Linked DNA regions of Diceros bicornis minor. The protein of the gene in region 2 interacts with the protein of the main gene of each other region in a pairwise test. Links are inferred from orthologs where the notes say so. Each region holds a gene or a part of one and is shown on either strand. Other genes may lie near its edges.

Evidence for each region.
Region 1: the proteins of NUP62 (region 2) and HSF2 interact in binary tests that used the Homo sapiens proteins (3 or more experiments, as listed by UniProt). The link is inferred for Diceros bicornis minor from reciprocal best matches to the Homo sapiens genes NUP62 and HSF2.

The regions. Positions count from the first base shown.
Region 1 is NC_080762.1:14,584,217-14,591,121, reverse strand, and holds the start of HSF2 (heat shock factor protein 2), read left to right. Parts: upstream 1-3,904; 5' UTR 3,905-3,973; coding exon 3,974-4,066; intron 4,067-6,905. UniProt on the Homo sapiens protein: DNA-binding protein that specifically binds heat shock promoter elements (HSE) and activates transcription. In higher eukaryotes, HSF is unable to bind to the HSE unless the cells are heat shocked.
Region 2 is NC_080773.1:25,283,317-25,291,001, reverse strand, and holds the start of NUP62 (nuclear pore glycoprotein p62), read left to right. Parts: upstream 1-4,680; 5' UTR 4,681-4,905; exon of another isoform or gene 4,906-5,059; intron 5,060-7,685. Other genes in the region: ATF5 (cyclic AMP-dependent transcription factor ATF-5), read right to left, coding at 1,614-2,269, 3,221-3,398. UniProt on the Homo sapiens protein: Essential component of the nuclear pore complex. The N-terminal is probably involved in nucleocytoplasmic transport.

The sequences.
Region 1 (6,905 bases), on a different chromosome or scaffold from region 2:
AGTGAGTATAACAGGTATTTTCACTCCCATTTATATATAAGGATCTAGGACTTGGAGGTGTCAAGTGGTTTGCCTAAGGCCCCCTAGTTCATTCCAAAATTGAAGAAAATCAACACTTTGTCCAGATAGGAATGTAGATGGAAACCTCTACGCAGTTCACCTTCGGCTTCAGTCATGCTATCCCTGAAAATAATCTTTAAAACCTAGTTCTGGCTGCACTGTTGATTCAAACTAGTTTTGCATAATTGATTAGATAGAATTTGTACAGTCTGAATCAGATGCTTTGAAGCATCAAAGTGCCCCACAATATGGTTTTCTATTTCCTAGGCAAAAGCCTAGGTCACTCATATTTTCTAATGTTATTCTAAATCTTTTAAATCTTATCCTCCAGGCTGCAAATGAGCCATGGAACGATTCCAACTTTTTTTATTTGGAGCCAACAAAAGGCAATTCACTTTAAGAAACTGACGTTTTTATCCTCTAATATTGTGAACATTTCAAAATTGTTGACACTGGCTCAAATCTGTTTCTTCTGATATTTATGGGATATTGTAGGTGGCAAATAATTGTGAATTAGCTTGATTTGGTTTTCTTCCCTTCTCAGTTTTATAAATAAGTGCAAATGAGCCAATAATGATTTTCTCTTCCCCAAAAACATCTCTAATTGGTACTTAAAGTTTTCAAAAAGTTTATTAATTACAATAAATATTAAGGATTAAGTTCACAGAAAAAGAAAACACAGTAGTTTAAATTATTCCTGGAACATCTGGATTGTGTTAAGAGGTGAAGGGTGAGTAATTACAACTCTGTACATGTTATTGACTAATTTTTCCTCTATAACAATGGTTCTCAAAGTGTGGTCCCAGGGCCAGCAGCATCTGCACCACCTGGAAACTTGTTTGAAAAACAAATTTTTAACCTGAACCCCAGATCTACTGAGTGGAGTTGGGGGAGAAGCAGCAATCTGTTTTTTCAGAAGCCCTCCAGGTGATTCGGATGTAGGCTAAAGTTTGAGGCCCATTGGTATAACAGAAAAAAGCATGTGTTTCAGACTATGAAAGACATGGTTTCAATTCCAACCCCAGCCATGTGATTTTAGACACACCATGTATTTCCTGGTGCCATCACCAGATTATTTGGTTAATAACTTAGCCCCTTTGCTGGCCTCATGAGTATTATAAATACTACCTGGTAAGTGATACTTGTTCATTTGTTATATTGGCAGTATCTCCCTTCCAAGTGATTTGGATGCATGCTTAGGTTTGAAAACCACTGGTCTATAAGGTGCAATATATTGGAAGCTGACCAGCTACATAATTTGAAGGGCCCGATGCAAAATGAAATGCTGGGTCCCTTGTTCAAAAATTAAGAATTTCAAGATGGTGACAACAGAGCATTAAACCAAGTATGGGGCACAACTGAGCACAGGCCTACCACTGGACAGGTTGAAGGCCCAAAGAGGAGTTTCTGCCTGTATCAAATCACATCTTTTTTTTCAGATGAAAATGATACAATGCCATGAAAGTAGGCCACATTTCCCCCTCTTACTTCCTGAGCTGTCCATCTCCAGAGACAGACCGTGCTCATTAGCCTCCCCATCTTTGCTCATTGTTGTCTTCCTTTTAGCTATCCAAATGCATTTGTACTTCAAGACCCAACTTAAGGTCCCCATCCTCCATAAAGTCTTCCCTTACTACCTTAACTCACTTAACTGTCCTTTTAAACTTTTCTAGTACTTGCTTTATGCCATAAATTTAACTCTTTTTTTTTTTTTTAGTTTACTTTTTTTGGTTATTGTTTTCGTTTTTTGGAAGAGTGGCCTTGAGCTAGCATCTGTTGTCAATCTTCCTCTTTTTTTTTTCCCCTCCCCAAACCCCCAGTGCATAGTTGTATATCCTAGTTGTAGGTCCTTCTAGTTCTTCTACGTGGGACGCCGCCTAAGCACAGCTTGATGAGCGGTGAGTATGTCCGTGCCCAGGATCTGAACCAGGGAACCCCGGGCTGCAGAAGCAGAACACAGGAACTTAACCGTTAAGCCACCGGGCTGGCCCCTAGCTCTTACTTTTTTAATATCAATGATTGCTGATCATTGTGTTCATCTTGTTTCTTAAGTTAGAATATAAGCAGCTTAAGCATTGAGGTGGTGCCATCATCATACAATGGAAAGAGCACAGGCTTTTAAGCTCAATCAAGCCCGGGTGCAAATACCCTCTCTCATTTACTAGCTGTGATGTAGGTAAATTAATCCACTTTTCAGTCTCAGAATCTTCATTGGAAAAATGGGGTAATAAGATGTACTTCATAGGGGTGTTGTGAAGATTAAATGAGATAATATATGCAAAGCCCTTGGCATATATAAATGCTCATCAAATATTAGTTCCTCTACCAGATGTATCCCATCATACATCTGATTTTGTTTCAGAAGACCAGTGCTGAACACAAAGTCAGTATTCAATAAATATTTGCTCTTTGGAAATTGAATTTTATTTATTTTTTTGTGAGGAATATCAGCCCTGAGCTAACATCCGATGCCAATCATCCTCTTTTTGCCAAGGAAGATTGGCCCTGGGCTAACATCTGTGCCCATCTTCCTCTACTTTATATGGGATGCCTCCACAGCATGGCTTGACAAGCGCTGCTTCAATGAGCGCCCAGGGATCTGCCGGGGCTGAGGCAGCTGAGTGCACGCACTTAACCCCTACGCCACTGGGCAGCCTCTGTATTTTATTCTTTAAGGTATTATTTTACACGTGCCCAGGAAGTAAACCAATCCTATGTTGAATTTTGCATAAAGCGTTAATTATCTCTGACTTGTGAGTAAATTCTTATATTCACATGCTGACTTTTGCAAAAAAATTTTAATTTTGTACAATTGTTTATATTTTTAAAGCATTTTCACACCTCTTATGTTATTAATATTATCTTACATGGGGGAATAGAGAGATATTCTTATTCCCAATGAGGATACGGGGAAGGCTGGCACCAACAGATCAAGGGATTGTTCTAAGTTACACAGTACCAGTGTAATTTAATATCCACTAAAGCGTCCTCAAAGCTTGGTCTAAACTCAGATACGCTGACTCCTTGTTGAATTTTTTTTTTCCACTATACCAAACTATCTCTGGCACACAAGAATATACCTGCAAAGTACATGCAGGAACAATTATTTTAATTGATTAAAACAGCATAAGTGAGGCTATTTCTTTTTATACTGGACATATAGACGGCATTCAATGGTAGTTGAATTAAAAACAGCATGTACGGTGCCTATTACACTTTATGGTTCACAGTAGTATGTGCTTTTGTAAAGAGTGAGCTATTATTTAAATTTCTCTTTTTTGCTAAACGTATTTTAAAGGGACCATTTTCTCCTAATGAAAATTTAAGGACAAGGTTCATTATTCTTAAGGCAGTTTCAATTTGGGGCCTAGCACATCATGCTTGAAAGCTGCTTTTTTCCCCCCATGTGAATTATTATACTCCTTCCTCCTGACGGCGCAAGCCACACTTTCCTGCCAAACTTATGACTCAAAGGCCCCTGAGGACTTTCTGTAGCCTCTCCGCCACAGCCCGGGAACCCAAAGCTGCTTCCACGTGAAACAACCAAACACGGTCCCCTAAGCCCAAGGTCCGCTACAGTCAGGGCCTGGATAAAAGGCGAATCAGAAGGCAGCACACCCCTCTGCTCCCACCCCCTCCAGTCTGCACCATCCAATCCGTTTTCTCTGTCGCGCGGTCGGCGCCTGGGATTGGCCGGGATCGGGACAGGCGCGCGACCAGTGCGCACGGGCCGAGCGCGGCGACTTGTCCGTCACGTGCGGCCGCCCGGCCTCCCCGCCTGGCGGGGCTGGGGGGCGGGGCCCTGGAGCTGCTGCGCCTGCGTTGTGGGCGTTCTCGGGGAGCAGCTGCCGCCGCCGCCGCCGCCGCCGCCGCGTTCGGGCGTAGAATTTGGAGTCCCCGCGCCTCGTTAACAATGAAGCAGAGTTCGAACGTGCCGGCTTTCCTCAGCAAGCTGTGGACGCTGGTGGAGGAAACCCACACCAACGAGTTCATCACCTGGAGCCAGGTACGCGGGAGGGCGCGGCGGCCTCCGAACCCTCCTGAGTACCCGCCGCCTCCCTCCCGCTCTCCCGCGGGCTTGTCTCCCGCGGCCTGCGGCTCGACGCCGGCTGCGAGGCCCGCGGCGCGGCCCCGGCGGGGGCCCCGGGGTGGTGGGCGCGGGAGCCGGGGGGGCGGCCGGCGCGCTGGCTCAGGCCGCGGTGGGGGAGGGGCGGCCGCGCGGGGCCCGCGGCCGGGAGGCCCCGTAACGGTCCGGCCCGGGCGCCCTTCGGCACCGGCCCGGCGGCGCGAGGGCGGCCCGCTAGCCGGGGGCGCGGGCGCCGCGTTCCTGCACACTCATCCCCCGTCCTCCCGCCCAGCTCGCGGGCTCCGGGTCGCCGGGGGCACGGGCAGCCCCGGGCCGGCTCTCCAGCGCGGGGCGTTATCTGAGGAAATCTTGACCCCGGCGACCCGCGTCTGTCGCGGAGACGGCCACGCGCCGCCTTACACCTGGGGTCCTTGTGGGGAGGGCTTCGGGGGAGTGGGCACACGGTCACACACAGGTGACGGCTGATCGGTGGGTCTTAAGATATTACACAGACAATGGTACATTTCTCCTCGGAGGTTCTGAGCCGTTGCTGTAAACGGGTTTTTATGATGATTTTCATCCAGGTGCTGAGACTGGTGTCCACTAACTTAGTGAGGAACTGAAATGAATCACTAAACAGTTGCCAGCAGAGTGGTGTGTGGATGCCGTGATTGTTGTTTGATCCCAACTCTGCCACGAAACGGAGATGACCTTAGCCAAGCGCCTTGTGTGGCCTGAGTTTCATCGTCCATGAGATGACTGGGTTGCCCGGGTGATCCGAGACTCCTCCTAGTTCCAAATAGTAAAATTCTAAGCAGAATGATTATTCCATAAACGGCGTTTGCGTTGGAATACGCTCTTAAGCTGTTGGAATCATTTTGTGAAGGGGGCTGGATTTCTCTTATTGTAGATGATCGTGTGTTTGGGATATTTTCTTGTTTAGAGGTCTGGAGACGAGGTCATGAAAACTACCTGCACAGGGCCTGGCACCTGTTCAGTGCCGAGTAATTGTTATCTCCCCTTTTTCTCCCTTTCTTTTCTGTTCTTTTCCTATTATAGGAACTCTCAGTTTTATTATTACATTTAACAGGGAGCACTAGATTGAGTACATGAAGTTTTGACTACTATAACACCATATTCTGGTTTATGTTACTGTCATTCGTTGATTTTTTTGTTTCCCTTCTAGGACTTAATTTTCTTGAAGGTTAGTATCATCAGCTGGATGGTGTGTATTAAGCATTTGCTGAATTCTGTACAGTTGTACTAAGAAAGGTGAAAATAAGGAAGCCAGCCGCGAGTGTGCACTTAAAAATAAACAGATGTCTCATGCTTTTCATCAGTCAGAAGGATTAAAAGTTGACGAGGATGGATCAGCACACCCTGCTGTTACTCAGCCTTTTATTCGTGTTAGAGATTGGACTGAGAGTCTCCTCTCCAACCCAAGCTGACTTTATCATACCTTTTTGCGTGGGTAGGCCTTGTTTTTATTGCCTAGAAATGGTACCTAAATATATTGGTAATTGGTTTTAATTAAGGGGTATTATATCAGTGGCAGGTCTGAAAATTCTCATTAGCCAAGATATTTTAATAACATTCTTATTTTATGGGAAGTATCAAATGTGGGGAGTTTCAAACTAATACATAAATGCATCATTTTATGAATTCTAAGCCAAATACAGAAGCCGCTTAAAAATGATTCTTATTTATCCCATTATTAAGTCTAAGCTTATGTTTTAACTACTCATTTTCTGATCATAACGAGACAAATGAAATATAAAATCAGTGAGAGCAGGGACACTCTCTGTGCCAGGGACATCCAGTAGGGACTTAATAAATGTTTGATGAATCAATGAAATCCTTGGAATATGTAATGGAAGTGGTAGGAATGTTGAAGATAGAATTATGCCTGAAAAGAATCTTAGAGATCATTTATTTGAGCCTCATCATCGTGTAGATGAGGATTTGAGGCTTAGACAGGTTAGATTACTTACCCATAATTACAAAGCTAGCCTTTATTGGAGGTGGGACTATGACATAGATTTGTGACCTCCCAGATCAATCTTCTGTCCATAGCATTACCTTTAATACATATTGGCACAATATTTAGTTTTATGTCAAAACGTTAGCCCTCCGCAAGTCAGTGGACAATTCTAGATTAATGTTGTCTAGGGCTAAGCTTAGTTGCTTAGGGCTGTCTCGCTTATTTTACCAGATTTTTCCAAATCAGTGTTAACAATGAAAAGTAAAACTTCAATTAAACAATGATGTTAGATGGAAAAACCAAAATAAGTTACTCTCGTCTTTTAAAAGTTGCTATTTATGGTTGTTTCTGGTTTCCTTCAGCCTTGTTTTGCTGAACTTCTATTGAGGTAATTTAGCATTTATACTATCTGAGTGAATATTAAGACCTTTTAGAAGCAACAGATGTTTTGGAAACCAGGCAATCTTTTATGCATTTTTTTTTTTTACTTGTGGAAAATAATTTATTCTTCTAGCTTGAGTGTTAGGCAAGGAGAGAAAGCTCTTACCAACTGCAGTTGGAAAAGCTTGGCTTAATATTCCTGAAGTTCATATAACTTTAATTTTCCTTGAAACTTGTAATATGACAAAAATGAAAAATGAAATAATATCCCCATTCTAATCATTAATTATAGAAATATAATATTTTGAGCAATCAAATTATACTAAATGTGTTATTGATTCAAATAATAGAAATGTCTTTAGATCCAGTGTGTCTTTAAAACGTATTGTACATGTTTTTTCCCAGATTCTCCCCTTG
Region 2 (7,685 bases):
CCTAGCAAGGGCCTTTTAATCAAAATCTTCTCCACCTCTCATTATCTCTACAAGGCATGGTCAAGATTCGTTTACCAAACATTTGCTTTTCCATCTCCACGTGAATTGCCTGCCTCCCCTTTGAAGTCCCAAAACACCACCCCCAACATCCTCCTTTGTCTTTAGCTGAAGATGGTATTTAAGGTGGTGGCTTCCACCATTTTGGCGAGTCACTCAGTCTTCCTGGGTTTCAACCATGTATACATGTTACTAAACTTTGATTTTACCCTGTTATTCTGTCTCATGTCAACTGAATTCTCAGACCAGCCAGGACCTAGAGGGCAAAAGAACAGTTCTTCCTCCCCTACACCCTCAACAAGCAGATGTAGTGAACGTCTCCACCATGGCTACCAGGCCATCTCCCCTCACTTCCTGACTTCCCCTGGGAGGCCCTCATCAGACAGCTGGCTCCTCCCACATCTCTTGTGGTAGCCCAGCCCCTTCTGTTTCGGTGTCATCCTTTTTTGGTGTGTGTGACAAGGGAGCTGGCACCTCTGCCTATCTTTTATCTCGCTGTCTATGTAAGTAATTAACCGTCTGAATCTAAAAGTGGCTACGCCACGGGGCCGGCCCCCTTAACTAGAAGTATTTTTGTTTTTTAAGATTTTATTTATTTTCCCCCCAAAGCCCCAGTAGATAGTTGTATATCATAGCTGCACATCCTTCTAGTTGCTGTATGTGGGACGCGGCCTCAGCATGGCCGGAGAAGCGGTGCGTCGGTGCGCGCCCGGGATCCAAACCCGGGCCGCCAGCAGCGGAGCACGCGCACTTAACCGCTAAGCCACGGGGCGGCCCTAGAAGTATTATCTGTTGTGTCTCCTATCATCATTATTGTCTTTGGCCTAAGATTGCCCTCTCCCCAACTTCTCCCCTCACAGACAAGACTCACAGGCCAGAGAAAATTCTTCATTTTATTTCCGCTCACAACCCCCCAAAGGATCAGTCCCCGCCCTCGCTCACCTAGAGGCAGCCCCTCTCCCAACACCTGCACAAAACACTGATTTCCTCCCAGAGCTAAAATGAACACCCGGTGCCCACTATGGCCATCCCCCGCCCTGCCCGCCTCCCCATCTGCCTGCACATCCACCTGCTCTGTGAACTTGGCTACCTTTTGGCTCCCTGCCCCAATGGAGCTCCCGAAGGTCACCTGGCTTGGCATTTTGATTACATGGGTGCCATTCTTCAAACCCTCCCTGACTTGCGTCCCCAGATGGCTCTCCTGGCCTCATTCTGCATAGCTTCCTGGCCACACGTCCCTGTTTGAGAGACCAGGTTCCCAAGCTCTGCCCTGCTCCCCGAATTCCCTGTGGGCCTCAGCCCCTCGGCTGTTACTTGAGGAGTACAGATGTTGACTAATGCCAAACATCCATGATTCTGGGGAGGGAGGAGGGGAGCAAACTCAGAAATGGATGAGCAGAGAGGAGAATAAAAGCAGAGAGAGAGGGAGAGAGAGAGAGATCTGGAATGAAGGTGGAGGCAGGGGGATGCCGAGGGACTCTCCCACCTCAGCTCCAGAAACAGAAGTGACCCAAGCTAAAGACCAGCGCCCCCTACTGCCCAAAGCCCCTGCCCGGCTAGCTGCTGCGGGTCCTCTGGCTTCGAGCCTTGTACACTTCGATGAGCAGATCCTTGACGTACTGGATCTCCCGCTCCACTGACTCCGCCCTCTCCCTCAGCTCCCGGTTCCGAGCCTCCAGCCCCTGGCACTCGCCCTCCAGGGCCTCGCCCTCTGCCCGCTTCCTCTGGCGGTACCTCAGAGCTGCCGACTTGTTCTGGTCTCTCTTCTTTTGCTTGCGGTCCCCTCGGGTGGTGGCAGGATTGGGGTAGGGGGCCGGGCGAGAGGGCTGAGGTGGAGGAGGAGGGGGCTGCTGTGGGGGAGGCAAGTGGGCCAAACCCGAGTCCCCATGCCCGGCCTCACTGCGGCAGCAGATGGCCAGCAAGTCAAGCGTATCCAGGGCAGGGGGCTGGGGGAAGTCAAAGGTGGGGAGGGGGAGGGGGAGGGAGGGCGCTGGTGCTGGTGGTGGTGGTGGGGAGGATGGCGGGAGGAGTGGGGCATCAAGGAAGAAGTCTTCCATCTGCTCCAGCTCCTTCTTGAGGAGGGAGGCCATGGCTTCCAGGTCAGGTGGGGGTGGGGAAGGTGGGGGGAGGGCACCTGGGGGCAAGGGGGGCTCCAGAGGGAGAAGGGCTGTAAAGTCAACCCGCTCAGTCATCCAGTCAGAGAAGCCGTCACCTGGAGGAGTGCAGGGGGACATAAAGGTCCTTGAGTTCCTGGTCCTCCACCCAACCGGGTGCTCACTCATGTCAGCCTCATTCATTCCATTCACTGAGTAAACCCACCAACTAGCCAATCAGTCAACCAACCAATCAATGAATCATCAAACCAGCCAACCAACCAACCAATAAACCAGTCAAACATCTAACTAACCAATTAACCGAGTCAACCAATCAACCAACCAACCAACCAACTAAATGAATCAGTCAACCAACCAATCAACCTTTTAACCAATCAATCAGTGAACCAGTCAACCACCCAATGACCCAAACAACAAAACAATTAGCCATTACTTCAACCATTCCAACATCCTCTTTACTGATTACTCTACACCTGTGGTTTGTCTGATTTACTCTCTAGTTTATTCTTAAAAGGCAAACTAGATTGCACATACACAACACACCCCGTTTCCTCTTTAACTCATTAAGTATTGAAAACCCACTATGTACCAAGCATGTCGGACACATTAATGAATAAAATAATTCCTTCCTCAGGGCCTCTGCATATGCTGTTCCCTCCTCCTGAAAAGCTATTCCCTTGGATCTTTTCATGGCTCATTCCCTCCCATGCTTTAGGCCTCAGCCAAAACGCTACCTACTTGGAGAGGGTTTCCTGGCTACACACTATAAACTAGGTCCCCGTTGTCATTTTTCAGCTAAATGACTGTTTCCCACTTATGCCACATTATCATTGAATATGTCTCGTCTGTCTCCTCACTAGAGTGTGAACTCCAGGAGGACAGTGATCGTGTCAGTCTTGTTCCCATCTGTATCCCCAGCACCTGACATGTTATAGGTGCTCAATAAATATTGATGGATTGAATGAATAAATGAATGAAGGAATTCTTCCTCCTTCCCCCTGCCCCCCATACCCCAATTCACCCCACCTCCATTCTTTGCCTGCCCTTACCTGCCAGGGGCTCTCCCCCCCCTGGAAGCCCGCCCTCCAGGGCTCCCCCAAGGACCTCATAGGGGCCCAGGGGGGCAGGGGCCAGGGGGAGTTTCCCATAGTCTACGAGCCAGCCCAGCCCGCTAGCTGGGAGCAGGGCCCTGTCCAGCTCCAGCCCCAGGGTCGCCAGGAGTGACATGGCTGCAGCACAGGCGCTGGGCGCGGATGGCAACGAAGGAGGCTGCACCGGCAGCTGACAGGGGGCTCTGGAGGTTGCTCAGCTGGGCGAAGACAGGCACCAAGGCGGAAGTGGAGGACCTACATGTGGGAGGCAAAAGCGACTGGGGTCAGAAGCCAGCCTCACCCACTACGGAAGTCACAGGGAAACCAAGCCACACCCCCACCTCCCTGGGGTCCTCCCCCCTCCCCCACTCCTGCTTCCAACTGGGCTTGGGACGAGCCTAGCTCTCAGAATTCTAAATCTGCTCTTTCTTTCCCCAAATCTCTGAGGCCCACCCACTCCCAAGGGAATTCGCTTTAGGATCGACTTACTTTTCTTTAGAATCCCCAAGCCCGGATCCTTCCAATACAGAAACCTACAGGTCTCCCCGGGGAATTTCCTTAACTCCTCCCACCCACCTCATAATATTCCCCTTCGTAAAAAAACTCAATCCCAGGGGAATTTTCTTCCAGCCGCACCACCCCCTCTAAAATATTTCCTTTAGGCCCCATCGCCTCCCTCGAGTCCATCTCAAATCAGCTCCCAGGGGAATTTCCCCCTGCCCCGCCCCTTCATCCATGTGATCCACTCAAATCCCACTCTGCCCTTTTAACTTTGCGGTGACCTCCCCCGACCCTCTAAGTCCCGCCCCTCACTGTTTATCTTAGCCCCACCCCTCCCCGATGATTCCCCCGAGGCCCCACCTCTTTCTCGGATCGAAACCCCGCCCCTCAGCAAACGGTTCGCTGAGCCCCGCCCCTCTCACAATGGGTTCCCTCAAGCCCCACTCCTCCCGATGGCTGTGATCCTAGCTCCACCCCCTTTTTAACAGGTTGCCTCTAAGTCCCGCCTTCTACCCTGTCAATCTACACCAGCCCTCGCCCCAACAGGTGCCCGATGAAAGAGAAGCTATGCAGTGCGCCTGAGCAATGTGAAGCCGGGACGCAGGTCGTGGGAGCCGGGAGGCCGGGGAGGAACAGCTCTCCTCGCCACCACCCTTCCACTCCCGGCTCTCTAACCCAGGGCCAAAGCACATGCTTCGTCCTCCTGGGGGTCACTGCGCATGTGCGGCTGCTTACTGCCCGCCCTTCGGACGCAAATACGGACTCTGGTGGGCTGCTGCGCATGAGCAACCGCGAGAGGGCGGAATCGTCCTGGGGGGTAGTGCGCAGGCGCAACCTCACGCGGGCCGTCTTTAAACTCCAACACTCGCTGGAAGAACGCACCCTCCCCCCCTCGAGCCGAGTGCGCATGCTCCGCCTCGCGTCGACGGCCCGTTTTCCCTCTTCTGCGCCTGCGCGACCGTGATTCCTCGCTCTCGTCTCGCCATCCCCCAGGTCGCGTTGTGAGGGCCGCGAGCTTCCAAAGGGCGGGAAAGGCGGTTGGAGAGGGAGGGGCGAGCGTTACTCACTCCATGGCTGCAGAAAGGAGAGGCGACGGCGGCCTCGGCTGAAGAAAGAAGGCGGGAGCGGAGAGCGCAAGCGCGGTGAGCGCGGAGATGGGCCGTGAGGCACGGAGGGGTGGCGGCTACAGAGCCATGGCCGGGGCTACGCGGGCGGAGGCGGCGTCGGGGTAGCGTGAGGAGAGATCGTGATCTGAGGACGGGGACTGAGGCGGCGCCGGGGACTGGGAACAGATATACCGGGGGCGGCGCAGCACGGCCCGCTCGGATCCCTCCGCGCCCCGCCCCCGCGCGGCCCCAACCGGGGGGCGGGCCTGGCCTCCCCTCGGGATCCCGGGATCCGGCCCTCTCTTCCTTCCGACCCCGGGATCCGGCCCTTCTGCTTCCTCTGATCCGGGGATCCAGCCCCCTCTTCCTCCCGACCCCGGGAGTTCCGGCCTTCCCTTCCCCCCGACGTGGGGGTCCAGCCCCCTCCTCCCTGCGATTCCGGGAATTCGGCCCCTCCTCTTCCCCGAGACCCGCGTCGGTTCATTTCTTGTTTCCCTGCCCCGGTTCACGAATTTCCGGCCAGCCGCATGCTCGTCTCCTTATCCCCCAACTGCCGTCCCCCAACCCTTTTTGTGGTTCGAGGCTGGCGTGAGTCATAGACCGGCCAGGGTGGCCTTGGGCATATAACTTAAGTTCTCTGGCCTCATAGATGGGGAACCGTTCGCAAAATGAGGTGGGGTTGTTTGTGCGAATGAAATAAGCGGAGAGCCGTGGGACCCAGGGCCCGGCTCCCTGCAGGCCTGTTCGGTGTGTTTTATTATTAATACGAATTCTGGGGCTCGGTCTGACGCCTTGCTCTCCTCCTGCCAAGAGCCCCAGACTCCTGACCATCCGACACCTGCTAATAGGTCATTCTTTAGCAGTGTCGCCTTTACTCCTCAGTGTCCAGCCGTCCCCACCCTCCTCCACGCCAGATGATGGGCGGTCAGCCCCCTCTCGGTGCAGGGAATTCAGGCATCGTCGCCCTCGCTGTTTTCTCCATCCCGTGCCCACCTCCCCTCAGCGCTTATCCTCAGCACTTCTTTCGAGACACTTGGTTCATTCTTCTGCCCCTGCCCCTCACCCTGACTTCCTTTCAAAGAGTCCCCCGCCTCTGCTGCGCCCCACTGGATCCGTGTTCCAGCCCTGCCAAAAATGGGGAGACCTACACTTGCATTTGCTAAAAGAGGAGAGCTTCCTCGCCATCCCCTCCCTGTGGCTGGGCCCTCCACCAGCCCAAGTGGATGCGGGTCTTTCCTCTGCTGCAGAAACCCCTCCCTTTCCCACCCTGCCTCTGTCCACATCAGGATGTGACACCTGGAGTTCAGCCTTCATCACTTTTGTGTTGGTTATGAAACTGAATCAAGATCCAGAGAAGGTGGGGGAACCCCGATCTTGAGAGTTATCTGGGAATGAACATACGCAGGCTTTTGTTGCATGCAGCAAGTCCTTCTTGGGATCTGACCACTTTCCCTTAGACACTTATTGTCCACTCTGCTGGTATTTGAGCACTGGCGCTATAGGGGCTGCGTTATACCTAGTCGGTATAGAGGAGCAGTTAAGAGCACACTCTGGAACCAGGTTATTGCGTTCCATCCCTGACTGCACCGCACTTAGTAGCTCACTGGCAATGTCCTTTATTTCCCTGTGCCTCAGTTTCCATTAATAATACCAGAATGGAGTGTGGAGTTTGGTTAATAGAAACGTACCAATGTACGTGGCCATTATTATATTGTACCTATTTCTTAGTACTGTTAACGAGGATTAAATAAGTTAACCGAGGTCAAGCGTTTAGACTAGTGCCTGGCACACAGTAGGTGCTACCTAAGGGGGTATTATTATTATTATTATTAGTGAGGTGTGTGTTTTATCTCCTTTGCTAAGCAGTAAGTTCTTTAAAAAGTCTTCCACCTTTTAAGTGAGACTTAGGGGCCGACTTTCTGCTTCTCAGTATAGATGTTGAGTAACAGCAGGTGAGAGTAGGGTAGGCTCTTGGACAGACTGCTGGCAGTGAGGAGGCCCAGTCATCACCCAGAGTCTTCTCCTTCTGGAAAGACCTAGGTTATACACGTGGACTAGGTAAAGTATTTTTCTTTAAATCAACTTTTTATTTTGGAGTAATTTTAGATTTACAGAAAAGTTGCAAAGATAGTGGAGTTGCCATATACCCCTCACGCAGTTCCCCCGTTGTTGACACCTTAGATTACTTGGTTCATTTGTCACAACTAAGGAACAAACATCATACATTTCTATTAACTAAACTCCACACTCTGTTCTGGTTTCACTAGTTGCGCCCTAATGCCCTCTTTTTATTCCGGCGTCTGTCCACGATGCCATATTACATTTAGTCATCTGTCTTCTTAGCGTTCTCTGGGCTGCGGCAGGTTCTCAGATTTCCCTTGTCTTTCATGACCTTGACGGCTTTGAAGAGTGGTGGTTGGGTATTCTGTGGAATGTCCCCCAATTTGGTTTTGTCTCATAGACTGGGGTTATGGGTTTTTGAGAGGATGGCTAGGTAGGATATTTTTTAATAACTGGAAATGAGTGTTCGGTGTATGCTGACTGAGAAGACACTAGGGCAGGGACCCTGGTCCCCTGTCCCAGTCCCTTGTGCCTTTTTCTCTCTATAGGTGTTGGATCCCACCTAGTTCAGCCCTGGTGCCAACTGCCCCACTCAAGCACTTGACTCAGTCCTGCTGAGAGGGTGCCAGTTCGCACACTTAGCTCCCTAGCTCTTCCCAGCATGTTCTAATTTATGGGCGGTAGGTCATCAGTGGCTGTCTGTGAGACCAGGTCTCAGCACCCTGAGCCCTGTCCTGTGCCCACCCCTGACCCAG